3 linked regions of the Drosophila melanogaster genome follow. The protein of the gene in region 1 interacts with the protein of each later gene in a pairwise test. Each region holds a gene or a part of one and is shown in the gene's direction. Other genes may lie near its edges. The genes, in order: Tbc1d15-17, spartin and Atg8b.

Region 1 (11,472 bases):
ACACGTAAACATACCACTCACAAAATAATACAAAAATCTATATACTACTCTCCTTGAACACTCCCTAAACTTAAACGTAATTTTTTACACAACTTGTAAATTATGTAACCGGAATAATATAGAAAGCAAAACACACGAGTGAAAAAAAAAAACAAAAAATAAAAAAATACATCTGTAACATATTTAAATTATTTAGGCTCTAACAAGTAAAAAATGTAAATACAGTTTAATTAGTGTTTAGCGTGTATTTAGTTGTATGTTTTAAAACTAAACCTAAAAGAAATCTGTACATTATATAACATAATTAACGATACAAGAACACGAGAGATCAGATCTATAAAAGGTCACCCAGAAACAGATAAACAAAAGAAGTTTAAAAGTGAATAATTCAGAAAATAAAAAGAACACGTTTTCAAGAAAAAGCATAGGAAGCGCTGTTAAACAAATGTTAATGTATAAGTTGTATGATTTAAGAGACTTTTTAGTTATTTCCTAAGTTACATTGAAGAAAAAGATTAAATTACACTTATTTCATACACTTGGTTTGTTTTTTATTTTCTTCGCTCCCAGATTCTATAGGTTTCTCGGGCCGTAAATCCAAATCGAACCCCATAGCGAAATACAACTTATACATACATATATACATTATATATATACATATATATATATAGATGTTAATGTTATAACTGTAATTAAATAAATTCTATACCTATGCAATCGTTGTGGGTTTTTTGGGGATTATTTTTACCAAGCTATATGCAGTGTGGAATCGATTAAAATCGGGAGCACATGTCCAAATCAGGATTAGCAAAAAAAATTACCTCGTCTTCTTATTCTCCTCTCGGCACATTTCCTATATCGTGTGAGAACCTTATAGGTTTAAAGTAAATAGTTCTCACACATGATTAAAATTGTAATATTTAATCAAACAAACTACTGACTATTTATTTTTTTTAATCTTATCTTTAAACTAAAATAAACTTAATTGTAACCGAAGAAGGGCTCGACGAGGTGGCAACGCTAGCCGGCGAAATATCGATGAAACCAAATATCTGGCTATCGATAAGAATGAATAAACATCGTTTTAGTAAAAATAAAGTTAAATAAGGAGAAGTTCTAGTTTTAGAGATTAGATACCTTAATACAGTTCTACAGCATGGCCACCCTGATACAAAGAAGTAAGTTGGACGGTTCATAGCGGTTGCCATTTTGAGCTTGGCCTGTTGTGTAACATGTAACATCTATGTACAAGCTTTTACTGATGTGTAAATGATTTTAGGCCTTTCCCTGGCTAAGAGCAGTACTCCTGCGCTACAATTTCTTCGCTTTAGGGGTAAGATCAATATACAGCGGCCGAAAGCACCGCACTACGAGCGGGCCCGGGTAGTCGCAGTCACGCAGCCGAAATATCCGGAACTCCCAAAAGCTAAGAGCTGCTTCAAAACGCGTGCGGAGCGCACGCAACAGCAGCAGGAGAATCCATACAACGAAATCATCGCACGAGAGGTGCGGAATTGGCTGGATCATTCCCGACTGGTTGCCTTCTTTCACTTAAGTTCTATAACCGCCGATGACATCTTCCGCGTGCGCGTTCAGCTTCACAAGCAGAACCTGCACCTCAAGTCCTACGGCAGCAAGATCATCGAACAGGCGGTGAAGAATACTCGATACGAAGCGATTGTGCCCCTGTTCCACTCCAATCATTGCATCGTCTTCTCACCGGACCCGGAAAAGACTGCCGCACTGCTACGAATCGTTCGCAGGGTGCCGCAAATGGTCCTGCTGGGAGGCATCGTGGAGGAGACCATGCTGAGTAGGAACCAGCTTGTGGCCTACGCTCAGATGCCCGGCCTGCACGCGGTCCAGGCACAACTTGTCCAGACCCTTAGTCAAGCACCTGGCCACCTTATTCAGCAACTGCAGGCCCATCAGAACAGTTTTGTGCAAGTTCTTGATGTCCATGCTAAAAACCAGATGAATGAGGAAACGCCAAAGTCTACGTAGAAGTCAAAAAAGTCAAGTTTGTTATATAACAAGAAATCAAAAATTATATAATTGTTTTTCACTCTAAACTAGCTGTAGTAATTCTTAACTCTCGGCGCAACCTGGTTTTCACGTTTACATGAATATGATCGTCGTAGTTTATCACATAATTTAAATGAGTGTAGCTAAAAGGTTTTAAACTTGAAGAAAATCATGTAACGAGTGAGTATTGTACTGTAAAGTTCGAAAATGAAAACCAGAAGAAGCCCACTTGACTAGATTGCACGTTTTAGCGGGGCCTGAAACTTCTGCTGGAATGATGGCGTCAGTTCCGGAGTCTTCAGTCTTTAGATATGGTGCCAGCGCTGCCTGCAGTTGAAGGCGAGGTTGGCTAAGGCCTCTGCTGCTTCCAGTTCGTCCTTATGATGAAGCATCCAGCGTCCACCACGACCAGCCCCAGACACATCTGTGGTAAAGATCGCTTGTCCACAACTGCTATTACTGCTAGCTTTCTGCCTAAAGTGAATCGATTTTTATTTATCAAAATTCACCATACCAGCCCCGAATTGCCTTACCTGGTCATATTCCACTCGATGTGATAATTGTTCCTGTCCGGTGTGAATTTTGCTGCACTTTCCAGCCACTTGTTGAGTTGCGTACCCTGTTGACTGGTCGTTTTTGCCGTGGAACTATCTCGCATATACTTTTCCATCATCTGATGCTTGTACTTGGTCTTACCCCCTGTTTGTGCTGATATCCGCTCGGTCAGACCTGCAGATCCTACAAACAATATCGGCTTGTATGGGGATGAAGGTTCATTATTGGCATTGCCATCGCTACCAGTACTGTGGCTGGAAAACTCTTCATTATCGTCGCCTTCGTCATCCTCCGCAGGACATGAGTGCATCTCCTCCTCCCAAATGCTATCCTCCGACGAGATGCTAAATTGTTCCACATTACCCCTTGCATTGTGATTGTAATTTTTGATCAGATGGCCCCAGGATTTCTTGGCTTTCTCTCGCTCCGAGTTTTTAAGCTTTCTTCGCCAGTTTGCAAACCAATTGCAAATCTGAGTGTAAGTAAGTCCAGTCTCTGCAGCAAGCTGTTTTTTCTCCTCCCTGCTAGGATAGGGATTCTCCCGGCGACGAATTAACCAGTCCTTTAGCATCCTCTTAATGTCGGGAGTAAATAATCTCTTTGTAGCTCGGGATGCTGGATGCAACTCCTCCTCTGGTGGCCAGGCTCGTCTGGAAAAGCACGCAAAAAGAATAACTACATCCCAAAAACAATTTTTCAAATCTTACCTGCTGTGTCGACGATTTCGTTTAGGCCGCGTTGACTTGTCCATGAGGTTCTGAAAACAAGGAAAGTAATTTAAAGAACTGACACAGAATCGCACACATCGCTATCTCTGTTAAAAATACCGTGTAAGTCAATTTAGTTTTTGAACTTTCAGTGGGTGGCGCTATTTCTGGCGCACCGATTTTCATGTTTTTTGCTCTGTGGATATTTCTTGCTCTCAAAATAACGAAATAAATATTTTTGTTTGCCCAATCTCAGAGCAGGAGAGCTCGAGAGCCAGATGGTGATATCACAACCATCATGAGAGTTTTTTACTTTTCGTAACAGAAGTAGAAATCTGTTAAGGGATTTTTTTTCGTCCACAACTGCTCGCAATAAGGTTGTTGTTCATGTTGTTCATTCGTTGATAAAATCCGCAAAAAAATAATGCCAATGACAAATAGTGCCAAAACTCACACAAGTTAAAATGTAAAGTTACTACATTATTAACGTCTGGAAACTTTGGGAAAAGTCCAATTACGTAGGAGATGCATCGCATTTGTTGACATTCTTAGGCCATTTTGCTAACATTAATTATATAACTCGAACTTAACGTTATAGACTTGTTTTTTCGCACCGAATTAAAATTGGAATATACGTATATGTATTGGAAAATTTAAGCTATTTTATTCTAGCTTAGCTCTAAAATGTTCTTCACCCACCTATATTTGGCTTATATTTTTTGATAATGTGTCATTATATTTTATAATTTTAAAATTGTCGAGTGCTTGTGCTTTGTCCGACGTTCTCGGGCGAACTAAACTCTGAGTTTTCAAAACACCCAGAAGAGGCAACGAAGATCATTATCAAATAAGACGGATTCATTTAACCTATTTACAAAATACAACTAGATATGTTTGCTTATTTTAAAATGATCTCTGTTCTCGGTGAAATCGACGAGAGTCGAGAGAAACTAAATTGATCGTGCTCTGTTGCTCTGCGAATTACTTGACTCTCGATTGGAAATGTTATGAAGTGATTATGCGGGGTAGGCGGACAGGATAAAATCATTACAAGTTTTTATACAAACTAATTATGAATTGAACTGCAGACTAGAGAGCAGAGCAAAGCGTACGCCGTTTCGAGGAATTCTAGAGATACGATATTTTTTGGTTCGCCTGGCCCCTTATCCAAGTAAATTATCATATGGTCCGCAAATTGCAAAAGACATAAAAAAGAAAGAGATTCCAGACCCTGCGAGAACGGAAACACGATGAAGTATTGGCTAATAGCAGTTTGCAGTTCTAATAGCAATTGACTAATTTCGCTGCCAGACTTCTTGTAAACTAAGGCTGCCACACCGATGGAAAAATGTCACGGAATGTGGCCATTTTTACCTCGGTGATAAAATACCCCCATACAAAACGCTGACATGTAAAATTTAGCACCTTCGTGGGACAATTGTTTATATCTGAAACGTAATAGCACAGGCTAATTTGAACTATAATACAAGAAGACATAATTGCCGGCAGCCATGGACGAATCGGTGCGATATGACCGCTGTCACCAGGTGCAGCTGGGCGTTTTCAACGAGTCGCAGTTGTCTTCTGTGGAGGAGGACGTGCAGAATCTGCCTCAGCAGGGAACGGGAAACGTAAGTGTCTCGTTTTTCACCTGACTCATGGATGTTCCTTCCTTACTGCCATTATGTTATTCCGTTACACGATCCAAAGATCCTCTTCACCCACGACGGCGTGCTTCTGAAGAAAGCCAGTGCGGAGCACATCGCGGATCTGAACACCAGCGGCTCCCTTTCCTTGGTGGAATATTCGCGATCCATCGCGGAAATGCCCCGTAGGAGACTGTTGCTCGAGTGGCAGCCCAATGACAGTATCATGATTGCGGACGACAGCCAGGATCAGGGAGACTGGGCGCTGGTAGACAGGATTTCCGGGCGAACACGCACCACATCCGAGTGCCGTGCCTTCAACACTAGACCCATTGAACCGAGCGGTGGAGCGACCACCCGTTCGCGAGTCATGCGTGCCCAACTGGAAGATTTGTCTTCTGTAGAGGTGCGCCATCGCGGACAGACGATCCGTTTTATGCGGAAAGGGGCTAATGGCGTCCACAGCGAGTTCTTTTTCCAGCATGGAAACGCAGACCTATTTGTGCGCTCCATGCGCGATCAGCACCTAATCGAGAACGCCGAGACTAGTCGCAGTGGCGGCGAGGTGTATGCCATATTGACCACCGAGAACCAAAAATTGAAAAAGACGTTTGCTGAACTTGACATTGGCCAGATTAAGGCAAGCCAATTGCCACGTGAGAGCTGGCTGCCCAACAAGCTGGCCGGAATCCTGGGCAACATTCCCGATTACGTACAGCCTCCGTTCCAGCGTTCGCCCAAATCTAGGCCGGGAGTCTTGATCTCTGGCGATCGGCAGACTTCACCGGACAATTATCAAATAATTGGGCTAAGTGGCAGCACCAATAGTGCCTGTTCCTCAAACGGACAGTCTCGTGGGGGCAGTGCAGAGAAGTCTCCCGCCGACAGCGAGCTGGAAACTCTTAATGCCCAGGACGAAAAAATAGTTAACAACTTGCCCGATCGCCAGCGGGTGGAGAGAGGTGGGTTGATATTAATTCTTAAAAGAGAGTTCTTGACACTTAAAAAGCTTAAGAATTTACTAATAGAAATAATTCTTAGGGTTCCGAACATGAGTTTATTAATATATTTTTAATGGACAGGTCATCCCCTAACCGAGACGCAGTGGCTAGAGTTTCAGACGCCCGACGGCCGAATTTCCGATAGCGCCCGAATCAAGGAGCTCATCTTCCGCGGCGGCGTCGTGCAGAGCCTGCGGCCAGAGGTTTGGAAGTTCCTTCTCAATTACTACCTTTGGTCGGATACTCATGTGGAGCGGATCGAGCGTCGTAAGCAAAAGTCTATTGAGTACTACAACATGAAGGCCCAGTGGCTTGCTATGACTACGACCCAGGAGGCGAATTTCTGTGGCTACCGGGAGCGCAAGTGCCAGATTGAAAAGGATGTGAAACGCACAGATCGCTCTTTGCAATTCTTTGCCGGAGAGGATAATCCCAATCTAACCCTTCTCCAGGGTATCCTTATGACATACGTGATGTATAACTTTGACCTTGGTTATGTTCAGGGTATGTCCGATCTGCTTGCGCCCATTTTGGAGATCCAGGTAAACGAAGTGGACACCTTCTGGTGCTTTGTGGGCTTCATGGAGCTGGTGTTTACCAACTTTGACATAGACCAGGCGGGCATGAAAACGCAGTTCGCCCAGATTCGTCGCCTTATTGAATTTGCCAATGCCCCGCTATTTAACTACATGAGATCCCACGACTCGGACAACATGTACTTCTGCTTCAGATGGCTCTTGGTTTGGTATAAGCGGGAGCTAAACAGCGAGGACGTTTTGAAATTATGGGAATGTCTGTGGACTCGGCTACCCTGCCCCAACTTCCACCTACTGTTTTCGGTGGCCATCCTCGATCAAGAGACTAGAGTGATCATCGACAGCCAGTACGAGTTCACAGAAATCCTGAAGCATGTAAACGAACTGTCTGGAAACATAGATGTTCAAAAAACCTTGCAGGTAGCTGAGGGTATCTATCTGCAGCTCAAGGGCTCTGAAACGTTGCCCAATGACATACGTAGCATCATTGGCGAACCACTCTTGCCAGCAGCCGCTGGTGAAGAGATTGATGGGGGCATGGTAGATGAGGAACCTACTTACTCGGACGATGGCTTCGACGAATTGGTGAAAGAGCTCACTCCCGAAGAGAAGGTTAGGCAGCAAGCTTTGCTTGAGGAGGCCTGCGAACGCTCCCTCTTCCTTCAGTTCCACTAATTAAAGTGGAATAAAAACGATGGACACCTGGAAAAAACAAAGCCAATAGCCCACAGAAAAGTATGCGCAAATTACGCTGCCCTTCAAGATGGTTGCCTAACTAGATTATATTTGCGGTTGCAAACTGTGGGTCGTATCTATTAATACTGTGGCTCATATAAATTCACTGTTACAAAAAAGATCAATCGAGAATCTGACTGTTTCTCCGTGTTTAACACGAGTCGCCCGTAAGCGTCCGCAAAAAAAATCATATTTTGGTAAACAAAACATTGGAGCAGTGTTAGCTTAGACTATAAGACTTAAAGTTTACTCTCGCATCGAAGCTAAGCGAGGCGGGCCAAGCGGATACACTGATTTATATATTGTATATTATACATTTGTACTTTTTTGTAATTATTGTAAGTTCTCTTCCTCACCTCAAAACCAAAACACCCTCATCCTATATTCGATCACCTCTAATTATATAAAGAAATTAGTTCTCGTGCCTGTGAACTCAAAACATTTTAGGTATCACTTTGCTTTATCGGACTTCAACACGCCTGTCTTTTTTTTTAAGTTTAGTCAATTACTGTGAATATACATCCGTATACAAGTACATTACAAATGCATAGCAAAAAGATCTAAAATACAACTCCAAAATTCACACATAAAGAACATTGCTTTTTATATGCTGTTTTAAGGATACATTTCGGAATTAATCCATCAAGAACTTGACTGCCATTTGTATTCGGGTGGCCATATCCTGGAACGGTACGGCGTGATCAAGGCAAATGCCTTGCGGAAAAGTTTCGTTAAGGGCATACGAATCGCAGACTTGACCAGGCTACCTTAACACGTCTAAAAATCGAGGAGCTCAGTAATAAATCGTATGTTAATGTAATTTTTAAAATTTATTTTTTATATATTTATTTATCATCAATATCAATAGTTGATGCTTGGGTGTTTCTTGCTGTTGTTGCTTCTTCTGGTTGATGTTGCTTTTGTTTGTTGTTCTGCAGTTATATAATAATTTTAATTACGAGTAATACTTACAAATTAAGTATGCAATATATGTGGTTGTTTGTTTTGCTTTTTTTTTGTGTGCCTTGTTAACGTCTCAAAATAAATTGTTCTCATAAAGTGCGGATCAAATTTGTCCATAATTCATTTACTCAGCTGAATAATTATACAAAATGACCTAAATATTGCATTGCTGCTCATCAAGCGTGCAAGATTCATATTCTCGGGCTTCTCAATTACAACAAAATTGATTTAATTAAAAAATTCTATTTTTCAATAAACACTTCCCACCTGTTAGTTACGCGCCAGGACTTGCATGTTGGTGTCGGTGGTTCATGGGACACACAAGTGTATAATAAAACATACGAATTACAAATACAAGAGTTTAAAATATACGCTTGAAAGATTGATTTGCGCCATTAGCATTCCATCCTTTCACATTTACTAATTACAGAATTAAAATGATCAAAATTACACGCAGCTTTCGGGGACACACATAAAGAATAGAGAGTTCAGTATACAACATATTGGGGATGGAAGTGTGGAAAATGGTTTAGTTTGAGGAGAATACATGGTGCCTTACTATATTAAAAACAGTTAAGCAATACGAGTCATTTTAAGATTATGAATTATGTACAGGTATTATATATGTATAGAGACTGCATGTGCCAGGACAGCGCCAGAAACCCAAGTATATGTGTCTCTACATTTTATGCATGGATAGTGTTTTGTTTAAACATTTTTCTGTCGCTTATCAATTATACGTTTTAGCAATAATTTAAACGGAAAATCCTCGTCGTGCAACAGCACTTTGTTTCTCTTGTTACAATTAAATTATAAGCGCTTTTTAATTATGTTCGTAATTATATAAATAATTAAGCAGCCAGAGGAAGGGACACTATTGACTTATCAAGCACCATATAAGCAGCAGATGAAACTTGAGTAAGTCATGGGTAAGGCGCTCTGCCCTCCAGTTCAGACGGAGTTGCAGCAGTGTCGAACTTTATGGCGTTGAGACAAACCCAAATCCGTTTTCTCCAAATTGGCTCCTAATCTCTATATATAGATTATATATGGTTCTTATACTTTACACAACTTTAAGCTTAAGGGATCTAGTGGTAACAGTTAACCTAGCATTTAAATTTCGCCTCGATCTCGTTTGCATCCGCATCTGCAGCTGGTTTCTCATCATCTTTCTGTTGTTGATTTTCTGCTCCGGTGACTTGCATGTATTGGCCGGATTGGCTTCTCCTCTACGCGATTTTCTCCGGCCCTTAGTATGGGCCGTGTCATTCTGCTAGCGCTGGCGCTCGGATCTGCGCAATACTCATTCGTTCCGTTCCTCCGCTCCCGATTCGCTTCCAGTTGAAAGATTAAGCGTACTGGCATCTGCCGAAGAGCGTGTATGACGAGTGGATCGCAACTCCCGTCGCTTCTCAGGCGGTTGTCCTTCCACGGAACCAGATCCTTGTTCGTTACCAGACCTCGGACGCTTCAAGCGATTGGAGGAACGTCGATTCTCTTCAGCCGCCGCTGCAGCCGCAGCAGCTGCAGAACTGGAGGATGAGCCACTCAGATTAGCAGCTGAAGTATTTTCAGCTGTATCCAGATCGTCCACGCTTCCGCCATGACTACTGCCTGGATTGGCAGCGGTAGGCTTTTTGAGTATGGGCTGTATAATTAGCTCATCGGCTTCTTCGTAGGGCGGCGGTAGTTTCGCGGCATCCGCTGCATTTGTTATGGTTAGCGAAATGCGCGACTCGGAGCGTTCGGAACGCTCGCTGCTAGTGCTGGCTCCACTGCTAATGGGAGGAGCTATGGTTATTGTAGTTTGACTGGGCAGATTAGCTGCCAGTCCCGCAGCAGCTGCTGAACTGGAAGAGGACCCCGATCCGCCTCCAGAGGCATTAAGGGGAGTCAATGTAACTTTATCCTGTTCCGCAGTCATGGGCGCTGGTGTAGAGCTGCTACTGGAACTGCTTCCGCCTCTTAGACTCTTTTCTATGCTACTCATGCTGGCACCAAGATTAAGGGGTAAGCCTGCCGCAAGGGCGGCCAATTCCTCCTTTGTGGGGTGTAAATCCCCACGTGCTCGTTTGGATAGCGCCTTCTGCTGTTGTTGATGCTGTTGCTCTGCGTCCAAAGCTGCAGCATACGCAGCTGCTGCTGCGTTTGCTGCACTAGAGGATGCAGATGATCCTCCCGCCGAGGATGTGGGTATCAACGAGATTCCTGATCCCAGACCTAAGGTCTTGGTATAATAGTCCATCTGTTGCTTAAAGGCATCCTGTTCACGCTGCCGTTTCGAAGAAGAGTGGCTAGTGCTTCCTGAGGCAGAAGAACCACCACCTCCAGCAGAGCCACCAGTTAAGCCAGCCAAACTAGCTAATGAACCTGGACCACTAAGAGGAAGGGATCCCCCCGCAGCCGCCATTGCCTGTGCAGCCATTTCAGCTAAAAAGGCCTGTGGGAAATCGCTGGACATGCCAGGAATTTGTGGTAATTGAGCTGCCGCTGCTGTCGCAGCTGCTTTCGAGCTCTTACTAGAGGAAGTGGATGTTCCCGTATTTGATCCGGATGTTGATGGCATTTTGCCTTGCGAGAAAGCTTGAAGCGCGGCTAAATCAGTTGGCAGAGCTCCTCGGGCTAAACTTTCTAACCACTTTTGCTGTTCCTTGGCCTGAACGTTAGCTTCATTTGCGGCTTGGCTGCTTCTCTTGCTTGTAGATGTGTTACCTCCACCAGAAGAGCTCGGCGTTCCTGAAAGAGGCGGCATTCCCAGGGAGCTCATCAGACGTGTTGCCTGCGCCAAATCCATGTTGCTCATACGGCTCAAGGACTCGAGAAGATGCGGATCCGCTCCTGGCATAAGTAGACTACTGAGTTGAGCCATGTCTGCTGCTGTGGGTGTGGTTTGGGACTGATTTCTGCTGCTTGATTGCCTGCCACGTCCGGATCCTGATGCTGAAGTTGAAGGCGTGGTAACTGTGCTAGCGCCACCGCCCATGCTGGCCATAGCATTCATCAGACTTGCTGCTGAGTTGGCAGATGCTGTGGTATTCCTGGACTGACTGGATTTTGATTGCGACTGATGCGACTTAGACTGCGTGGAGCTCGTATTTGAGGCCGATGAAGTAGCTCCATTTAGCAGGTTATACTGCTGAGCCAACTGATCGTATGCGGAACCAAGTCCACTAGATCCAAGGGAATACGGATTCAGGCCACCTAGTCCCATGGGCGGATACAGCAATGATGGATTCGGAAATAGGAATGGAAATCCGGCCGCCAATTGTGATGCAGAAGCAGCTGCGTTCTTTCCCCCTGATGC
Region 2 (11,193 bases), on another chromosome or scaffold:
CATGGCCGCCACATGATTTTCCATTAGAATTCGTAGTAGGCAATTCGGTTTACCGATTGCCGCCGCAAACGGAAACAAAGAGCAGGTGCGAAATCCATGACACACGGTTCCAGAAATGCAATCTGTCGGTTGATAAGCCACTCGGATTCCGAAGTCTCGCTCCGGCGCCACATGGCACCGCCACGCCCACGCCACACCAGCCAGAAAACCCCACCCACTCTGTTGACCTTGGGCAGATGGCAAGCATGGTACCGCTTCCACCCAAAGTTCCACCTGGATTGCTAAAAATACCTATTCAGAATTGTGACTTTGCTTTTCACTTGAGAGATGGAAATAATCGAGATCCGTTTTAAATTGTTTCAGAGCCCAATGTTGTCAAGGTGGAATTGTATTTACATATATAAATAATATTTATATATTTTAAAATTACATCGAATGGATATGTACAAAAACCATTTTTAATTCCAGGAAGCATACAACAATCTTTCAAGAGAGCTGAAGGTGACGCATCTCCTGGGCAACATCCAAAATGGCCAGCAGTCGGAGGAGGCTCGACAGATGGCCGCCGTGTTGCTGCGCCGCCTGTTTACCACCGAGTTCTTTGATTTCTACAAAGGGGTAGGCATAAAGCCGCGCAGAGAATCGCCCTCTGAGCATCTTTCTAATATTACCTCATTTGCAGCTTCCAGCTGAATCCCAGAACCAATTGCTTCAGCAGATCCTTTTGGCCGTGCAGCAGGAGGTGACGCCGCAGCTGCGTCGCAAGATTTGCGAGGTAGTTGCCGAGGTGGCCAGGAATCTGATCGACGAGGACTGCAACAACCAGTGGCCCGACATCTTGCAGTTTCTCTTTCAATGCGCTAACTCGCCTACGCCGCAGCTGCAGGAATCGGCACTGCGGATCTTCTCTAGTGTGCCTTCCATATTTGGAAACCAGGAAGCTCAGTACATTGATCTGATCAAGCAGATGCTTGCCAAGAGCATGGACGCTGGATCCGATCCGGAGGTCCGAGTACAGGCCGTGCGAGCCGTCGGAGCCTTCATCCTCTACCACGACAAGGAGAACGAGACGGCCATCCACAAGCACTTCGCTGATATGCTGCCCCGCATGATCCACATCACTGGCGAGACCATCGAGGCCCAGGATGATCAGAGTCTGCTAAAGCTCCTGATTGAGATGACCGAGAATTGCCCGAAGTTCCTGCGTCCCCAGCTGGAGTTCATTTTTGAGGTCTGCATGAAGGTTTTCAGCTCGCAGGACTTTGAGGACAGCTGGCGTCACCTAGTGTTGGAAGTTATGGTGTCGCTCGCCGAGAACGCCCCGTCGATGATACGCAAGCGAGCGGACAAGTATATCGTGGCCCTGATCCCGCTGATTCTCCATATGATGACGGATTTGGATGATGACGAGAACTGGTCCACCGCCGACGTGGTCGATGATGACGATCACAGCGACAACAACGTGATCGCCGAGTCCTCGCTGGATCGCCTCGCCTGTGGATTGGGAGGAAAGATTGTGCTTCCGCTCGTAATGAACGCTCTGCCGGTTATGTTGGGTCATGCCGATTGGAAACATCGCTTCGCAGCCCTCATGGCCATCTCGGCCATCGGTGAGGGTTGTCACAAGCAGATGGAAGCCATCCTAGATGAGGTAATGTCCGGAGTCCTGAACTTCCTGAGCGATCCTCATCCTCGCGTTCGATACGCCGCTTGCAACGCCATTGGCCAAATGTCCACCGACTTTGCACAGACCTTCGAGAAGAAGTTCCACAGCCAGGTGAGTCTTAAATTGCAACTGCTTTATCAACTTTCTAATAAGCAATTGAAATTAATTAAATGCTTAACAATTTTCCCTTGTTTCGCCAGGTGATTCCCGGCCTCTTGTCTCTTTTGGATGACGTGGAAAATCCGCGAGTGCAAGCACACGCAGGTGCCGCTCTGGTGAACTTCAGCGAGGACTGCCCGAAAAATATATTGACACGCTACCTGGACGGGATCATGGCCAAGCTGGAGACTATTCTGAACTCGAAGTTCAAGGAGCTGGTGGAGAAGGGAAACAAGCTGGTACTGGAGCAGGTAGTGACGACAATTGCATCGGTTGCAGACACCTGCGAATCGGAATTTGTGGCCTACTACGATCGCCTAATGCCATGCCTTAAGTTCATCATCCAGAACGCCAACTCGGATGATCTCCGCATGCTTCGCGGCAAGACCATTGAATGCGTGAGCTTGATAGGATTGGCGGTGGGGCGGGAGAAGTTTATTGGTGATGCCGGAGAAGTCATGGATATGCTGCTGGTCAATCACACCGAGGGGGGGGAACTAGCTGATGATGATCCGCAGACCTCCTATCTCATCACTGCCTGGGCACGTATGTGCAAAATCCTTGGCAAGCAATTTGAGCAATATCTGCCCCTCGTTATGGGACCAGTGATGCGAACGGCCACCATGAAGCCTGAGGTGGCGATGCTGGACAACGACGAGGTGGAGGACATCGACGGTGATGTGGACTGGTCTTTCATTAATCTTGGCGAGCAGCAGAACTTCGCCATTCGCACGGCTGGCATGGACGACAAGGCTTCGGCCTGTGAGATGCTGGTTTGTTATGCTAGGGAACTAAAGGAAGGATTTGCCGAATACGCTGAGGACGTGGTGCGTCAAATGCTGCCCATGCTTAAGTTCTACTTCCACGACGGTGTCCGCACAGCTGCTGCTGAGTCGCTGCCTTACCTTCTCGACTGCGCAAAAATTAAGGGTCCACAGTATCTGGAGGGCATGTGGATGTTCATTTGTCCGGAGCTGCTCAAGGTAATCGTCACGGAACCGGAGCCAGACGTGCAGTCGGAGCTGCTGAATTCGCTGGCAAAATGCATTGAGACATTGGGTCCGAATTGCCTTAACGAGGATGCCATGAAACAAGTTCTCGAGATTATAAACAAGTATGTTCTGGAGCATTTCGAGCGTGCTGACAAGCGTTTGGCGGCTCGCAATGAGGAAGACTACGACGACGGTGTGGAGGAGGAGCTGGCCGAGCAGGACGACACAGATGTTTACATCCTTTCCAAAATCGTGGACATTACACACGCCCTTTTCCAGACCAACAAGGCTCAGTTCTTACCCGCCTTTGAACAGGTGGCTCCGCACTTTGTCAAGCTACTGGAGCCCAGCCGACCTGTAGCTGATCGGCAGTGGGGCTTATGCGTGTTCGATGATCTGATCGGTGAGTTGGTTTTCTTAATTGAGTTTTGCAGTTCAATAGTACCGCCGATACCTTCAAACATCAAATCATTTGTGCCACCATAAAACTAAAGACTTGTATTCTCATTTACCTACAGAATTTTGTGGCCCCGCTTGTGCTCCATACCAGCAGATCTTTACGCCAGCCCTCGTCCAGTACGTGTGCGATAAGGCCCCAGAAGTGCGCCAGGCGGCTGCCTACGGATGCGGGGTGCTCGGCCAATTCGCTGGTGAGCAGTTTGCGCATACATGCGCCCAGATCATTCCACTGCTGGTGCAGGTCATCAACGATCCCAAAGCCCGCGAAATCGAGAACATCAGTCCGACAGAGAATGCGATCTCGGCGTTTGCTAAGATCCTCAAGTACAACAACTCGGCGCTGAGCAACGTGGACGAGCTGATCGGTGTTTGGTTCTCATGGCTGCCGGTGTCCGAGGATTCGGAAGAAGCCGCCCACATCTATGGCTACCTATGCGACTTGATTGAAGGCAACCATCCGGTCATTCTTGGGGCAAACAACGGCAATCTGCCGCGCATTGTCTCCATCATCGCTGAATCCTTCTGCACCAAGGTGGTTGAGGCGCAGTCCGCCACCGGCACTCGTATGCTCACTATCGTCAAACAAGTGGAATCGAATCCGGAGGTAATGGCTGCTTGTGCCAGCACCTTGAGCCCGGAACAGCAGCAGGCGCTGCAGGATGCCTACCGGGAGCTGGCAAACGTGGCTCCCGCCTAAGATATCGCAATCCCAATCCTCTTCAGACCAAGTCCATTCATGTCGACCAAGCCAAGAAAGGAACGATGGATGCTTCAGCTACTCGTTATCATTATTTTTCATCTTACCGAAATTTTGAAGTATATGTTTAACACATAGATATCCATTTATACAGATATACATTTATGTGTACAATAGAGTTATCCGGGTATATAATTCTATACATATTGTGATTTTAATCAAAACTCTTCTCCCGAAGACAAAAGTCTGCCTCGTTAGAATTTGATATGTTGTATGGATGCGATCCAAATGCCATCCCAATCACACCCAAATTCCAATAGAATATTTTCGTTACTCAAATTTTCATATGTTTAATACATATGTGTGTATATACGGCCCTAACGGCCGCCTCTCCCTGCGGGGAAAACAGGATGTAAACGTTGTCCGAATCGAACGAAATATAATTTTGTGCATTCAAACCAGGATCGACAAATATATTTAAAGGAATAACATTTATTGTATTTTAAACATGATAAAAACGAAATAAATAACAAGTAAATCGATATTTTAATTGCCACGAGCTTATGTTTTAGTATTGCTTTTTATTATTAACCATTCATTCAATTTCAAATTCGATTCCCGCAAAAGACTTTTCAAAAGTCGTTGTGGCAACTCTGTCTGTGGCAGTGAACATGCAGAGGCCTCCTAAACAGCTGATCTGATTCGCAATGGAAAGTAAGCAAATCAAAACAAAGATGGAAAAACTTGGAACATTCAACTCGAATGGAAAACACACATTTTAACATGTTATTTACGAATTTAAGTGATATTAGGCAAACGATATTCTCACTTTAAAGGTGTGCGACTAAACAGGAGCAGAAAATAATTCGTAAAATTAGTGAGAAAATAGCGAAAGAGAGCGTTTCTCTGTTTGCTTTCTAAATCATTAGGTGACTTGGTGGGCAAAGTGCAGATTAAACGCTCAGAATCAGACGAAACCAAAACCCAAAGGTGAGTGAGTGCAACAGGTAGACGGTGAGTGCAGCGGAAGGGCGGATGCGGTTTCGTTGGCCACAGTTCAATTTAGAGCAGCTGCAGGAGAAGATGTAAAAGCGCGTCATTCCCACTTTGGTGACGCATTTTGGTCACCCTTTTAGTTGGTCGCGGTTGCCCGCCTCGTCGGGATGTATCTCTGCCAGCAAGTTCGTTTACAATATCTTAAATCTCACGAATATTAACAAAATATGTAGTAATTTGCACTATAAGACTTACACAGAACTTTGCGAAAGGGGGATTCATAAGAATAAAGACAGCACATAGAACATGTATACTAACTAAACCATAAATAACCATAGTCATTGACTTTAATAGATTCTTAGTTCTACATACTAAAGTTTTGAGGGCTTTGGTTTTTTGTATAGTATCTAATGTTTCTGTGCTGTTTCTTAGGTATTAAAGGCCGCGATGGCGGAGGAGGAAAGCGAATTCCTGGAGGCCTATGCTGGCATCAGAACAGCCTACAAAGCGGCCATGACTCAGGTGGACCTGGCCGTAAGTCACGAGGAGCAGGAATCCCCCGGCCAGGCCATTGTGGCCTATGAGCTGGCCCTGCGTATGATAGAGGACACCTTCGGCATTCCAGTAGGTCTTCCCAACAAGATCGACACCGTGCAGGCGGAGTGGAACGACGCCTGTGCGCTGATCCAAAAGCTCAAGAGCGCCGAAACGGAATTGAGATACCGCCTCAAAGTTCTGCGATCCCAGAAACAATCCATTGATGATTCAGCCGTGGAGGCCACGGAGGAAAGTCGAGCAGAGATGGATACAAAAAGGCCGCCGTTGCTGGCGGAAAACCCCTCCACGCAATATGGCATAGCCAATGCTAGCGGAGCACCAAAAACCTACAGAGAGCTCGCTGCCGGCTTGCGGGAGCTCTTGGCTGTTCGGGACGCCAAAGTCTTGCTCGATGAGCTCTTCCGTGCACAGGTCAAAATGTACCGAATCGAAGCCAGTGGATCAGTAACCACCATAAGCGGCTCGTCAACTATGTCATTGGTAATGTGCACCGTGGGTGGCAAATGGAAGTACCTCAGTGGCATCTACTTCATTCAGTGCTCCATGCCAAATGAGGGGACTGCAGGGATTTGGCTTTACCCCCTGGTTCCCTCGATCACAAACTGCTACCAAACAGAGTACGGAGCCTTTATTTTTCCTGATATGGAGTGCCAGCAGCCGGGCAATGCATTTGGTTTGATGCTAACGAAGGAGGGCCAGACATCGCGCACGGAGGACGAACTGGAGGATCTTCAGCAGTTCTTTCTTGACCTGTTGGAGGCCGTACTCGCTGGCACGGTAGTGCAGCTGAAATCGCCGACCTCCCAACGTGCTGGCCTAGCTTCAGATACCGTTTCCGGGTCGGAGCAGGTGTCCAGACACATTGTAAGTGCGGCTGATTTCATTGCTAGTAACCTGGTACGGGGCGCCGAGAAGACAGGAGGCTTTATGCTTAGGAGTACTCCGTATATCATTTCCAAGATGACGCCAGCCTCGATGGATGCTCAGGTGCCCAGCTCCGTCCAAACTTCAGGTGAGTTAGTTCCAAATAGGGAAGAGCTGTATTTAGGGCGGAAGTATGGTAGCTTCCGAATGAGCATGTAACGATAAAATTAGAAGATAAGATTCGAAGTCGAAGATGTGATCGTCACTACACTTCCACCTCGATCGGAGTTTGTGCTTGTGTTTGATAATCATGTTAATCAATGGTTTGGAAATGTGCAGATTACATATAAGATAGATCTAATGTATCTTATGTTGTAACCTTTTGTTCATTATAGTTGAGGTGGCCCAAAAAGTGACGCACGCCGCAGCCGGAATGACAGGATGGATAGCTGGAAAGGTGGGCACTGCTTCAATGGCAGTCGGCCGCTACCTGGCTCCCCACATTCAGGAGCAAGGCTCTAAACTGCTGCAGAAGGGATTTGGCTACGACACCAGCGAGGCTAATAGCACCATGGAGGGCGCCATGACCATCGCGGCAGGAGCCGTGGAAGGAGTGAGCACCGTATTCGATGGCCTCGAGACTTCCGCCAAGATCCTAGGCTCCAGCCTCAGTGAAAACTCCGTCAAGATAATCGAACACAAGTGGGTTGGCTTTGGCTTCTTAATGCTTATGCAGTTTTGTAACAGATGTCATTACGAATTTTCGTCCGAATTGAAAGTAATCACTTAGGCTGGCAACGGTTTATTCAATTTAAATATATCTGAGATTTAAGTTATGCGCAATGTGCAGAGGATCGCAAAAATGATCAAGGATCGGGAAATGTTACTCAAGCTTGCACACAAAGAAAAGTTTTATAACTTGTTGTGAATCGTCTCAAATATGTAATGCTACTAAAGGTCTACTAAGATCTAGATATTCATTTTGGGTTTCTTTCGCCTTCGAAAAAGAAAAACATATAGTGCGGGCATTTTTAATATTTCATATATTTACATATATTTATTTGCTATTTCAGATATGGCCAGCAGACGGGGAATCTGGCTAGTGGCACCTTTGACACGGTGGGCAACGTTTTCGTGGTCAGTCAGAACGTGAACTACATAACCCCGAAGGGCATTGCCAAGAAAATGGTCAAACGAACAGGAGAAGCTGTGGTCAGTGACTACAAGCGAGACTTACGCAAATCGGAATCTCATTATATTAATGCCGGATCTCTTTATCCGGATCTTCGAGCTTTGAAGGAATAGCGGGAAAACCAAAGGAATTTATCACATGTTATTATTATTATTATTATTATTATTATTATTATTATTATTATTATTATTATTATTATTATTATTATTATATTGAAATATTTATATGCCATTTATAGCTTCTAATTAAAAGAAAAAATATAAATAAATATTATGTTCAATAACACATAAAAAAGATATTTCGAAAGATTTTGCATCAAAACCTTATTTTAGTGTTCAAAAATGCTTTACTTTTGTATTTGTAGATAAACCGAAGCTAGAAAGTATTAAAAAGAAAAATGTTTAATTCACTTTGTATATTTGTATAACCTAAATTCTAGCTTCCTAGCACTCCAACCGCTAAGTATCGGGTATCTTTTGTTTTTAAATTAAAATGTCCTGATTTTTGATACACAACTCAGTCCTCTTTCACTAATTTAAAAGAATTAACAATTTTAGCAAGGAATTTAGTATGAACGTACCATGTAAATTGTGAACAAATGTTGATCTAAGTATCTTTAGATTGACGATCAATAAAAAGCCGTCTAATTTAGCGGCTTTAAATCCTCGTAAGTACTGTCATAGCTTCCGATCGCCTGAAGTTACAGACTTTTGAATCTTATATTGTTGAAAAGGTTATGTTATTTGCATTATTTCCTAACCATTTCCTAAGACTCTATATAGCTATCTTATTCCTTATTCTTTTTTCCTATCTTAAAAAGCACTCTGATCAAGCAAAAACTTTGCGGAACGAGTCAAATTTTATATAAACAAGTTAGGAATTTATATAACGAGCGATGAACCCCACATATATACTTTGGCGAAATATGGTAAAACTTCACGTTTTGTTTTATACACGAGATATAGAATGTGATATTCTATAGGTCCTAAGTGTCATATATCAAGGAGCCCATATATTTAGTTAGGGTTCAGCTCCCGAATCAGAACATAACATAACATGAATGACTATAACCCCTATTGTTGGTAAAACTTTCTCCTAGACTATATTTACATTTACCTTATTATAGTCCTTTTATCCTATTAATATTTATATTAGGAGAATATAGGAATATGTATACTCATATTATTGTCAAAATCATATGAATACATTTTTTTATATATATTTATTAAAAAGAATCCGTACATAATTATATTGTATCTTAGCATCACAGGGTGGAGATTTATTCTTAAGAATTACCAGTCGATATATAAAAAAAGTAAAGTAAATGAATACATTTGTTTTCAAACGTTAGCTCTCGTGCGAGTTCCATTCTGAAAATAGGAATGGGTGTTTAAATCCTCACATGATTAGTGAGAGGTTTGGTTTTATCATTTATATGTTAATTGCGCTGTTATGTTGCTATTGCTGCATTGTATGGATTCATCGCTTCTAAATAAATAAATTTAAAAAAAAGGAATGGGTGTAGCATACTTTCGGGACGCGCAATAAAAAATTATCTTGAAATTGGTTTGGTTTTAAACTCCGCCATATATCATTATATAATATTATATATTATTTGATCCCAAAGCTTCATAGATTGATCCATCAGCGTCTCGTTGATTTTTGTATGCAATACTTTACGTACTAATTCAAAAACCGAGAAAGTTGTTAATTATTTTGAAGGCTTTTCGCCGAACAACGTAACAAAAAACGTAAGAGCGTACAGAGAGACCTTGCCTGCGGACAGATAAAAATACCGCTCGTAGTCCGATTCGACCCACCTCAACTGATTCAGCTGGCCACACTCCGCCCCATTTTTATATCCACAAATTCCTACGCTCGGCAGTACGTTTTGAACTCGGCCAAAAGGAGGTGGCTAAGAGTTTAGCGCGGCACGCAAGCACATAATTCCCCGCTCGGACGTGATTTCGCCCCTTGGTACATGAATACATGTGAATGTGTACATATGTGCGCACGGGAAATAAGGCAGGAAAAGCCCAAAGCCACGGAGTTCGGATCCGAGAGTCTTGCGTTTTGTTTTGCGCAGCACTGCACCTGTGCAGTGTAAAATCGTGAATTCAGTCGAGGTGCAACTGCGGCGCTTGTGCGGTTGAGGGAGGAGAGTTGGCAGAAGTGTGTTTGTGTGTGTATGTGGGTGGGTAGTGCCTTTTATTTCCGATTTTGACGGGAGTCCAATCCACCAAGCTGAGTAGTTGCAATTACGGCGCGGCGGAAAACTGTTTTTCTCGCTCACAAATACATATGTACAACCTGTATAAACAACAACGACTGCCGTAAACAGCCAACTGCGAACGCAGCAACAACAACAGTTCTAACAACAGTACACAAGCAAACACGTTTCCCGTTTTATTTTCTGGCCCGCGTTTATTAGTGTGTGTGGGTGCGCCTCTGTGTGCGAGTGCGTATGTGTGCGTGTGTACGTGTTGCTCGCTCGAGTATAGAAATTTCTAATGATTTTTGGCCTGTTCCCGAAAAGCAGCTCCAAACAACAACAACAACAACTTTAGGACTCTGCAGTGGCTGTTCCAATTGACTCGCCATTCTTTTGAATTGTTTTTATATATGTAATTGAACGCCGAAAAACAACTGTGTAAAAAACAGCATCTGTGCCAGCAACGAACAGAGCTTCGAATTTTGTTGGTAAGTGTTTTCAGCTTCTGCACAATGAATAAAGTAAATAATAAGTGAATAAGTGATTTCAAAATCTGCATTTTGAAACCGTAAAAAGTGTAGAAAAGAAAAGTGTAAAAAGGTAGCCAATTGTCTTAGTAACGTGCTTATTTATGCAATTTGTAACTATTGGCTTGAAGTTTACATAAAAAAAGGTCCATTCGAAAAATGAAGACTAATATCTTTCCTATCTTTCCTAACGGATATCAAAAAGTAGGATTGGGTAAAACACATTTCTCTCGGAGATTTTTCTTCATTGAGCGGATCGCTTAGATCCATTCATCTGACGCAACAGTAGCAGCAAAATAACGTTGTGATGACCAGGACTAGGGATATGACCTCAAGCAGCATTCTGGGACCTGGATCATGTTGGTCAGGCGGAACTTGTAGATGGAGGCTCGTGTTCTGGAGTGAGGCTTGTGAGCTTGAGTTGTACATTCTTGCGATCCATCCACCGATCTGCTGGCTTTCGAATTTGATGTTCGACAAATGTGTCTCAAAAAAATTTCGACACCCTCGACATGCGTTTCTGTGTTGGCTTTGATAGGTTTTTTCCCCAAAACATTTTCACTTTGCATGCCAATTTTCTCACCGCTCAAACTTGCAGCACTCGGGCGCCTAGTCATTTATTTGATATCATCATTATCGTCATTGCCCGAGCTACAGGCTACAGGTTTTTAGCTAATAAGGTAATGGCAAAAAGACGGGGAAAAACGGCTGAATTATAATCGAAAGAAAAAATCCATCATTGGAAAGTTGGTTTAATTGCATTTGCGGAATGCAGCTGTCAGGGTTGCCTAGTTGTGCGACAGGGCGACGCATTTTTCGCCAGCCGCGCACTTGGCTAATATTTCAGGCTTCATGCTTCATTTGCGTTACG
Region 3 (8,994 bases), on another chromosome or scaffold:
GACCTACAGGAAGTTAGTAGTAGTAGTAGAAGAAGTTTACATCCTTACAGTTGCAGTTTGGAAGTCTACTCACCAAAAGGGCCATCTTCTTGGCAACGCTCAACTCGCCCGGGCTATTCTGGTGGGCCTGCCGTGTCTCGCGACCCAAGGACAAATAGATCTGGGCATAGCAGACGGCTATGATGGAGAAGGCCACTCCGTTGGAGCCCAGAATGGCAATCAGGTAAATGGTGTCGTACACATCGCGATTTTCCATCGGAAGGCAAATGCTGCAATGAACGAGGGCCGAGCATTTGAACCACAAAGCTCGGGCAGAATGACATATTTACTTGCTCACCTCGTCGACGAATAATTACTTATGCCAAACAGGGGCAGCGAGGACATAAGCATCGAGTAAATCCAGCCGCCCAGCATGATGAGCGCTGCAGGACGCAACTTGATGCGATGGTTCAGGTACATGGCCTGCGTGATTGCCAGCCAGCGCTCGATGGTAATCACGGTCAGCGTGAACACCGACAAATGACTGGCGAACACGGTGAGAAAGCCGGCTACTTTGCAGCCAAGCCCTGCGGGAAAATGGAGAAGACATTGTAAGCTAAATCCATGCCGGCACCACAAAATCAGCTGCACCACCCACCGTACTGCCAATCGTAGGCGAAATTGAAATACTCCCCCATGGAATGCGCATCGATGCAGGCCACCAGCAGCAGATAGAGGCCCAAGCACAGGTCGGCGAAGGCCAGGTGGCACATCAGAAATCGCGGCACCGGCGTCGACTCCGGCCTGGAAAGGTAAGAGATTATAGGCACTTTAACAAACTAGTTTAAAGCAGTAAAAAGCATTCGTCGTAGGGTGAACCCTTGAAATTGTTAGACCCTCAGTTTCTCTGAGTGCCTTTGGCCAAATGGGAATGTAACGACTTACCTAATCGATAGTATTACTGTCAGCACAGCCACGTTGCCCACGACGGCCAGAGCCACCACAATCCAGACGGAAATACGCAGCCATTGATAGCCCATTACATCCTCGCAAGGATTTAGATCATTGGGCATGGGATAGCATTCAATATTGGGTTTTCTGCAGGGAATAATATCTCCTATTAGTACCGGACGTTGCTAAATGAAGAGAATATTAATTCACCTGAAAGTAAAATTGCCGCAAAGTTCGGCCGAGGAGTCATCACCCGGATTCAGGATGATCTTTTCGTGAAAAGTGCCCTTGTTCATGGTGTCATCGGCCATGTAATCGAAGGAAGCGAAAGTGATGGGGGTTATATCTGTTGCTGAGTCGTCGGTGCCACCGAAAGAACCAAAATCTTCTGGCATATTGAAGGGGTTATCCAAGGTTGATCTCTCCTTTCGCGTTCCGGAGTCACTTTTGCACTGCTTCCGCCATTTCTCAATCTCCAGCATCCGCTGGGCGTGTCGCTGAGGATCGTGCCGAGATGGAAACTGGAAGGCGCAGCAGTGGAAGGAGTGGGTGAGATAGGCCCTCTGCAGATTCTATAAAAAAAACGCAACTTTGGGCTTAAATTATTTGGTAGAAAGTGACTTTTACTCACCCGGAAGTTGTAGATGGATGGTATGGTCTTTAAAGTGTGGGTGTTCTGAATGTACAACGCTTCGATGTTCTGAAGTCCGGCAGAAGGAAGGCCAACTAACGAGGTGCTGGAGAGATCGCTATGGAGATACAAATACAAAGGGTTAAATCTTGCGAATGCAATAAAGATACAATTTCCAAGCTTACAGTTCAGTTATGTCTATGATGCCATCGAATGCGTTGGGATGCATCATTTGCAGTTTTTTGTTTTCCTTCAGCGATCTAAAAAGCCACATGATTAATAACTATTTACTATTTGAAATTGGGTTAAACTTGCAGTTTGGCTATCTTGGAGCCGAAGAAAGCGGAGTCATCAACGTAGCTTATTTCATTGTTTGTCAAAATTCTGCAAAGATTAGAGCTCTTCAGAGATTACTTGAATGTGTGGCAATAAACCATTTATACGTACAATTGGGCAGTCTTTACTTTTATAGATTTACTGTCTATCCGAGTGATTTGATTGTTATCGAGATCTCTGCGGAAAAAATAGGGTACATATTAGTACCACAAAGGGTAAGCTGGGTTTTGCTACTCACATCATTTGCAGAATATTATGAGGTGGCAGGTGGCCCAAGTCAGGAACTCTGGTCAGGCCACTATTTATGATTCGTCTGTGGGAGTAAAGTGACACTATTGTTAGACTGTGTTAACTTCATGAGCACACCCACATCCTTCCCGCAGCAGGATTAATTAAAATATTGTGTAATAAAGTTTAAAGTAAATAGTTCTACATTTGTATTTTGCCGTTAGCGCAGAGCAATTAAATCGAATATTTATTTCTGCATGATGGACAAATAAATTTTTCTACCATGTTCATTAAATTGCATTTTTTTTTTTAGCCAGAATGCTTTTGAGGAATGCTCGACATAGCAGACAATTTAGGCAACATATTGAAGTAGGAATGCGCACAAATCCGCGTAGATGGGCATTGAGTGCTATTTTTACCGATGACACAACATATTCCCCATCTTCTGGCCGAAAAAAAAAACCACACAGCTGTGTGTGCTTATTAACTTGGCCGCCACCCTACGAAGGCCCCATGATGAATGCCCCACAGATGGGGCATCTAGAGCTAGATTTGGACTCACATAATGTCCACGGTGTCCGAAATGCCAAGGAATACGTCCTTCGAGAGGAAAGTCAGCTTGGGTGCGTTGGTGATGTAGCTGAAAGGATAATAAAGGGTAATAAGTGAGTCAGTCAGTCGGTCGGTCGCTTGAAGCCGCCACTTAAAATCAAGCCTTACATTGTTCGCAATAGGGTTAAATTAGCAAAAGCGCCATCCTGTATCAGTTCCAGCTGCAGGCAGTCGGTGAAGGCCCTGCCAAGCCAAAGGACGATTAGTAAACGCATGGAATGAGGATATGGATATGTCGGTGGATATGTCTATCCATCGCAATATAACTCACACATCCAGCAACGTGGATCCGTAGACCTTCAGCCCCGTGTGGCGTAGGCGTGGCAGCCCCGCCGATGCGATAGTTAGACGCTGTATGGGCAGCGTCAGGGTTTGCGGTACGCGATTCAGTCCATCGCCCTCGCAGCGGCACTCCACCTCCTCCGCCTGCGGAAATAGTGGAATATGTTTTTATCCAGGTGCGTGGGAGTCGTGCAGTTGGGAAAGTAATAAATAATATAGCCAGCAGTGTTAACCTCATATTTCAACCTAGTTTCCTAGTATAATTCTAAAAATAAATGCGCAGGCCTTTCACTTACAACGACCTGCTATCGATGGCGACCCTTTGACATTCTGTGATCTTGAACTTTGGCTGTTAGTAGTTATTAATAAAGTTAGTGGGTAACTTCATTTTAGTCAAAATCACAACTAAAACTCAATGAACGTCGGTGGAAAATGCCATGTTGGCTGTTTGACTACTTCAATTAACTGACATTCGGAACTTAAAGGCTTAAAGTTGCTGTGGACACTCAACTAAAACAGGAGCCAACGGATCTGCCTTCTAGTTTCACTGTTTACCCAACCTTCAAGTTCTGCAGTTGACTTTGGAGGCCGCTGGCATAGCTGGTAAACATATAGAATTAAGTAGAAAGTGTGCGTCTATCAGTCACTTACTTGATTACTTGCATTCCAGCAACAACACTTCCAGGCGGACCGTGGCATCGTCGCGGTCAGGGGCGTGTCCGTCGATTGAGCCAGCGATACGGCCGTGAGATTGGGGTAGACATCGAATCCGTGGTGGATGTCGTGACAGTTGTTGGCACTCAGCGCCCCCCCGACGGCACTAGTGGCGTATACGAAATGCCGGCCACTCAGCGACGTTAGCAGCAGATGGTGGAGAAGCAGGCGGCACTGGAACTCGAATGACAGACACTTCAGGCCCTTCCTCGGACGGTAAGTGGTACCCATCCGCTGGGACAGACTCGGGTGCTTTTCCATGGCTCTCACTGTCTTTTCCGTCCAGCGATCCTAGGTACATAATGTTCGGCTCATTTCCTCTGCAAATATCCGTAGCCGTAAACACTTCTAATTAGTTTTGGATGCGCGTCTGCATCTTGTAGCCGTAGCCTGTGCGGAACGAAATGGGAACGACCAGGAGCCGTTTCAGTGAGTGTCTAATGAAGCCATCAAGCTGATGATAAAGTTAAATAGCATCGAGCAAACAATTCACTGCCATCCCTGCTGATCCGCAGATATTTGGCATGTCGCGAATTGGACGGTCACGTTGTGAGGCGCGGACGCGTGTTTGATTGATTTTCAAAACCGTACAAAAGCCAGCGACAAATCGAATAAATTGAAATCAGTTGCGAACAGCAGCCAGCAAATTTCTTGGGCAAGCAATTACAGTGAAGCCCATGGGCAAGGAAATATGGTCGAGAGGACACTGACTTACTTGGCTAAAAGGGGCTGGCAAACAGAAGTTGAGCAAATATCGAATGGAGTTCGTTAATTAACATATGCTATATGCAGGCATAAAGCTCATATTTAATCCATGGTATTATTTTTAGACACCAGTATGCGTAAATATTTCGGGTCACGTTTTTTTGGGGGCCTATAAAATTTCATTTCTCTGTTTTATTGCTTAATTTTAGTTCTCGCCCGCTAATTGAAACATTCAGTTTTGTGTAATTAGTGCTGCCATAAACCCAGATTGGCTGGGAGCTCAGTTTTCGGTGGATATATCCCCATATAGCCCATATCCCAGAACCACAACTATTTCTGTTTGAATTCTGGCCGCTTATCAGAAACCTCAAAGAATGCCGACAGCTGTGCGCCATGTTTCAACCATGTTTCTTAATTAGCCAATATTTGTTCTGGCATGTGCTCCAGCTAGCTTTATGGCGTCGATCTTTCGCCCGGAATGCACAATCTGGCTATAACTCTGGCCCTCCGTTAAAGGTAGAATTCCGAGTTAATTAGCACCTACGGCTGGGCGACCTCCGGCGGAATGCGAAAGTTACCGTGAACCTCTGCCGGAATTCAATGGCAATCGTTGGCCATGAAGCAGATAATAGGCAACCGATTTTCCAATGGCAGTTGGACACAAAAAAAAAATCATCACGAAAATCCAAATATGTGACGCACATTGCTTAGAAAATGATAGAAAAAAAATCATTTGAATATACAAAATCTATCATTGGGCCATCGGACAAAGCCAAGAAAATGAGTTAAATCAATTATTTACACAATATTTCGCTTGATTGGCAGCTCTGGCTGATTATTTGTATTTCGAATCAACACCGAATAGTTAGCAGCCGTTCAATTGGATTAAATCCACTCTGACGACTCTTGCATTCCATTTAACTAATTCCCCTTTGAATGGCGGACACCAAGTTGGAGTAATTAAACCAGGCGGACACGATTAAGTGGGAGGAACGCCAAAGATTCTGGTCCAGTGAACGCAATGCTCTCATATTTGGACCCTAAAAAAAAACGGTTATGGTGTCGTTTTTAACGAATTATTGTTAATTGCCGCATTAACAACATGGTAAAACAAGTCAGTTTGAGTTTATTAGGCGCAAGTCGCAATATTGTTCATATAAATCAAATTAGAATGTTCTAGTTCAGTGGCCAGAAAAGCTTCAATTTTTACCTACCTACCTAATTGCTCTGTTATTTCTTATGCACTTTTCACGAGAAAAGGAGAAAACAGATACGCATTTGTTTTATAAATCAAATTAGCTTTTGCCAGTTGGCTGACCGCAAAAACTCGTGTGTGTGTGTCTCCAAGCCAACAAAGTGCATTTTAATTTGTTTTAAAATTGTATTTTGTGCGTTTAGAAAGCGCATGGCCGTTTCTATCTATCCAGTCAAAGAAATCTCTCTGATTTTTGAAGTCTATTAGCATGGACTTATTAGCAGGTATGCGGTAACCACATCACAAAATCCGTACGTTTCTATCGAATCTCAGATCATCTCACAAACGAATGGGCTCTGGACTGCACATTTCTAGGTGAGCTAAAGCAACACCATTAGGGCGATTACTTTTGCGGATTGTGGAATACAATTGGTGATTTGTTTCGCACCCGTGAGTTTAATTAGCAATTGCCGCACACAATCAGTACACAGGCACACATAGATTAGTTGCCCGTGTTTATGGCTAATCGCCACTAAAATCAAGAATCAATTTTGGGCAAAATGAAAATTGATAACTTTATGGCCTGGTTTTTCAGCAAACACACACAACACATCAAAGGAGAGATCGTGGGACTAACAATTTTTTCGACCATCACATGAGCGTATAAACTCTGAATTATAATGGATTTTCCGAAAGATTATTTCACACACACGCCTTTTTCTAACGAATCGAAAGGGTCCGTTCTTGGACATGTTGCTCACCGGAAGCGTAAATATCCCAGGTATTTTGCAGTTGTCTTCGTCCGAACTGAAGTGCACCTGTTGCAAGGGATTACGCCCAGGCCACAACCGGAAACCAGCGATGCACGAACTGCTCCAAGTAGTAGTACTGTGAAGTAGAACGACAAACTGAACTGCCGAGGCACCGAACGCGAACAACCGAGCAGCTCCAGCAGCTATGGCGGAATGAGAGCTCCAGCGCTGTCCGAGCGACGAGCAGCCAGCGACGACGGAGCCCAACAACACATCTGCTCCAGCTTTGCGTGTGTTGCGTGCATTGTTGCCGTTGCGGTCGGTACAGGTAAAAGCTTTCGCAGTTGTACGCCCCCAGCACATACACTTGTTGAGCTCCCTTGTGGTCAGCGCCTTGGGAGCCTTGATTGTAACGTCTTTGGGCCAATTGTCGCCTTGGGGCGGCCTGCAAAAAAAGGTTCATAGAGCGGTGCCAACTGCAGGGATTTATATAGTTTTTGTCGTATTACAAAATATTTAATTAAATCAATGAAAATATATAAAATAAATGCGCCAGTGAAGTATGGAATGGAAAGTTTCTAGCCCGAGGAGTCCTGCACAGCACATTCGTAGTGCGATTCCAAGGACACAATTACAATTAACAGTTTAAACGGTAATGGGATACTTCAAATTAATTAATTGGAGCGATGCATGAAAACGATACAAGAAATATGTGTGTAAGCACCATGAAAGCCCCTAGGGAAATTTGGCACTCATATATAAGTAGTTCTTCTTTAATTTAGAATTTCCAACAAATTTCGTATGTTCCTGATTGGTTAAAGGTATAGATATACTTTTCCATGAATAGGAATGAATACTAAACCTGATTACAATCACATTTTCCCTCTCCCATTTCCCATTCAAATCCGAGAAGAGCAGGCACTTTTCTATCTGCCAAAGCTATCTGTGCAGTAAAGGTGATAAATCATACATAGTTCCCAGCAACTCAGGCCGGCAGCTACATAAGACCTTCGTACCAAATCCAAAACGAAAACCCATTTTTCGCTCCGTTTCGATTCGAACCGTATTCCAGTCCGCCCAGATGGATATGAACTACCAGTACAAGAAGGACCACTCGTTCGACAAGCGCCGCAACGAAGGCGACAAGATCCGGCGCAAGTATCCGGACCGTGTGCCCGTCATCGTGGAAAAGGCGCCGAAGACGCGTTACGCGGAGCTGGACAAGAAGAAGTACCTGGTGCCGGCGGACCTGACAGTGGGCCAGTTCTACTTTCTCATCCGCAAGCGTATCAATCTGCGTCCCGACGACGCCCTCTTCTTCTTCGTAAACAATGTGATCCCACCGACATCGGCCACCATGGGTGCACTGTACCAGGAGCACTTCGACAAGGACTACTTCCTCTACATTTCCTATACCGATGAGAACGTCTATGGACGGCAGTAGACGCGGGCTTGACTCGCGTAATCGTTTTGGCGGTCGGTTGAGTTTCAATTGTCATTTTTTGCCATTGGCACTACTCGCTCAATAAAGAATGACTGCTCCTAGCCAGCTAACCAGAAGCAGACAACGTCGTCATCACATGGCACATGCTGGGCTAAACAATAATTATCGCAGTATGTGCTTCCCCCGCGTTGGAAGTGGGTGCATAGCATCCGCTAATCCCTTGCCCCTGGTCTTGCCGCAAAAAGTTAATTGAAGCGCTCGAAAAAACATTTAGTGGACTCACTGCTTCGGCTTAATTATAATTCACATATTCGATAGCCGTATGGTTTGCTTAAGTTCACTAATTGATGAAAATATGAGACATAAAACCAGTTTAAATCGGGCAAAAGTGTGCTCCAAAGGCGTGCAATAAGATTCAACAAGTTGGTTTATGTGTCGCATGAAGCCAAGTCCAATGTGGTGAGACAAACTTGTTGACACCGTGTCCATGGATTAGCGAAGGAAATTTTTATATCATAATTTCGAATTGATTTTATTTCTGTTTTATTCCGTCAGACACCCACCCACAACTTCCAAACCCTTTGATATACAGCTTTTGTTTATCAAACTAATCTACATGGGCTGTATTCTTCGAAAACTTCCAGATGGTTATATGGAAAAAGTAAATATAAATATATGGGTTCACAAATAAATTCGATCTCCCTCGCGTTTAAAAATTGGAAAGTTCAATAATCAAATTGATTATATTTCAAATGAAGAAGTTGTTCATTTGACAGAGATTACAAACTGCGTATATTAGATTAGTTCACATGACTTACGTGAAGATTGTAAAAATAGAAGCTCAAATAATGAATATCTAAGGTTAAACAAGACTTCACAGATACATGTCGACACACAATTCACTGTGAAATGGAGCGGAATTGATATAGACGTTTAATAATATTCTGTTATACATTTTAATTTAGCTTGAAATTTGCATATCATGTTATTTACGAATGCGAACAGCTACTAATTGACTAGATAATCCAAAGCGATTCCATGCCAGAAACAAACATATCACTGTGGACGACAGTCCACGTAGTGACGAACCACTATATACTATATATCTCCTGTTATTGTACGATCATAACGAGTGCTATGGGCTGAAAAGAAACTCAAATACTAA

Evidence for each region.
Region 2: the proteins of Tbc1d15-17 (region 1) and spartin interact in a two-hybrid assay, tested with the Drosophila melanogaster proteins (one large-scale study listed by BioGRID).
Region 3: the proteins of Tbc1d15-17 (region 1) and Atg8b interact in a two-hybrid assay, tested with the Drosophila melanogaster proteins (one large-scale study listed by BioGRID).

Annotation. Positions count from the first base shown.
Region 1 is NT_033779.5:202,714-214,185, forward strand, and holds Tbc1d15-17 (TBC1 domain family member 15/17), read left to right. Parts: upstream 1-4,465; 5' UTR 4,466-4,798; coding exon 4,799-4,918; intron 4,919-4,997; coding exon 4,998-5,895; intron 5,896-6,015; coding exon 6,016-7,145; 3' UTR 7,146-7,793; downstream 7,794-11,472. Other genes in the region: mRpL10 (mitochondrial ribosomal protein L10), read left to right, coding at 1,157-1,178, 1,280-2,004; CG11617 (uncharacterized protein), read right to left, coding at 2,331-2,499, 2,559-3,230, 3,288-3,331; kis (kismet), read right to left, coding at 9,472-11,472.
Region 2 is NT_033777.3:4,650,117-4,661,309, forward strand, and holds spartin (spartin), read left to right. Parts: upstream 1-4,683; 5' UTR 4,684-4,963; intron 4,964-5,042; exon of another isoform or gene 5,043-5,154; intron 5,155-5,401; 5' UTR 5,402-5,416; coding exon 5,417-6,539; intron 6,540-6,786; coding exon 6,787-7,093; intron 7,094-7,464; coding exon 7,465-7,696; 3' UTR 7,697-7,869; downstream 7,870-11,193. Other genes in the region: Karybeta3 (karyopherin beta 3), read left to right, coding at 469-618, 683-1,777, 1,867-3,220, 3,336-3,973. UniProt on the Drosophila melanogaster protein: During postembryonic development, functions with endocytic adapter Eps-15 in neurons to restrain synaptic growth, by inhibiting BMP signaling, and to control synaptic endocytosis. Required presynaptically for neuromuscular junction (NMJ) neurotransmission.
Region 3 is NT_033777.3:17,723,383-17,732,376, reverse strand, and holds Atg8b (Autophagy-related 8b), read left to right. Parts: upstream 1-7,313; 5' UTR 7,314-7,466; coding exon 7,467-7,829; 3' UTR 7,830-7,967; downstream 7,968-8,994. Other genes in the region: Lgr1 (Leucine-rich repeat-containing G protein-coupled receptor 1), read right to left, coding at 1-3, 74-269, 338-566, 638-783, 925-1,077, 1,141-1,502, 1,562-1,679, 1,747-1,821 and 7 more.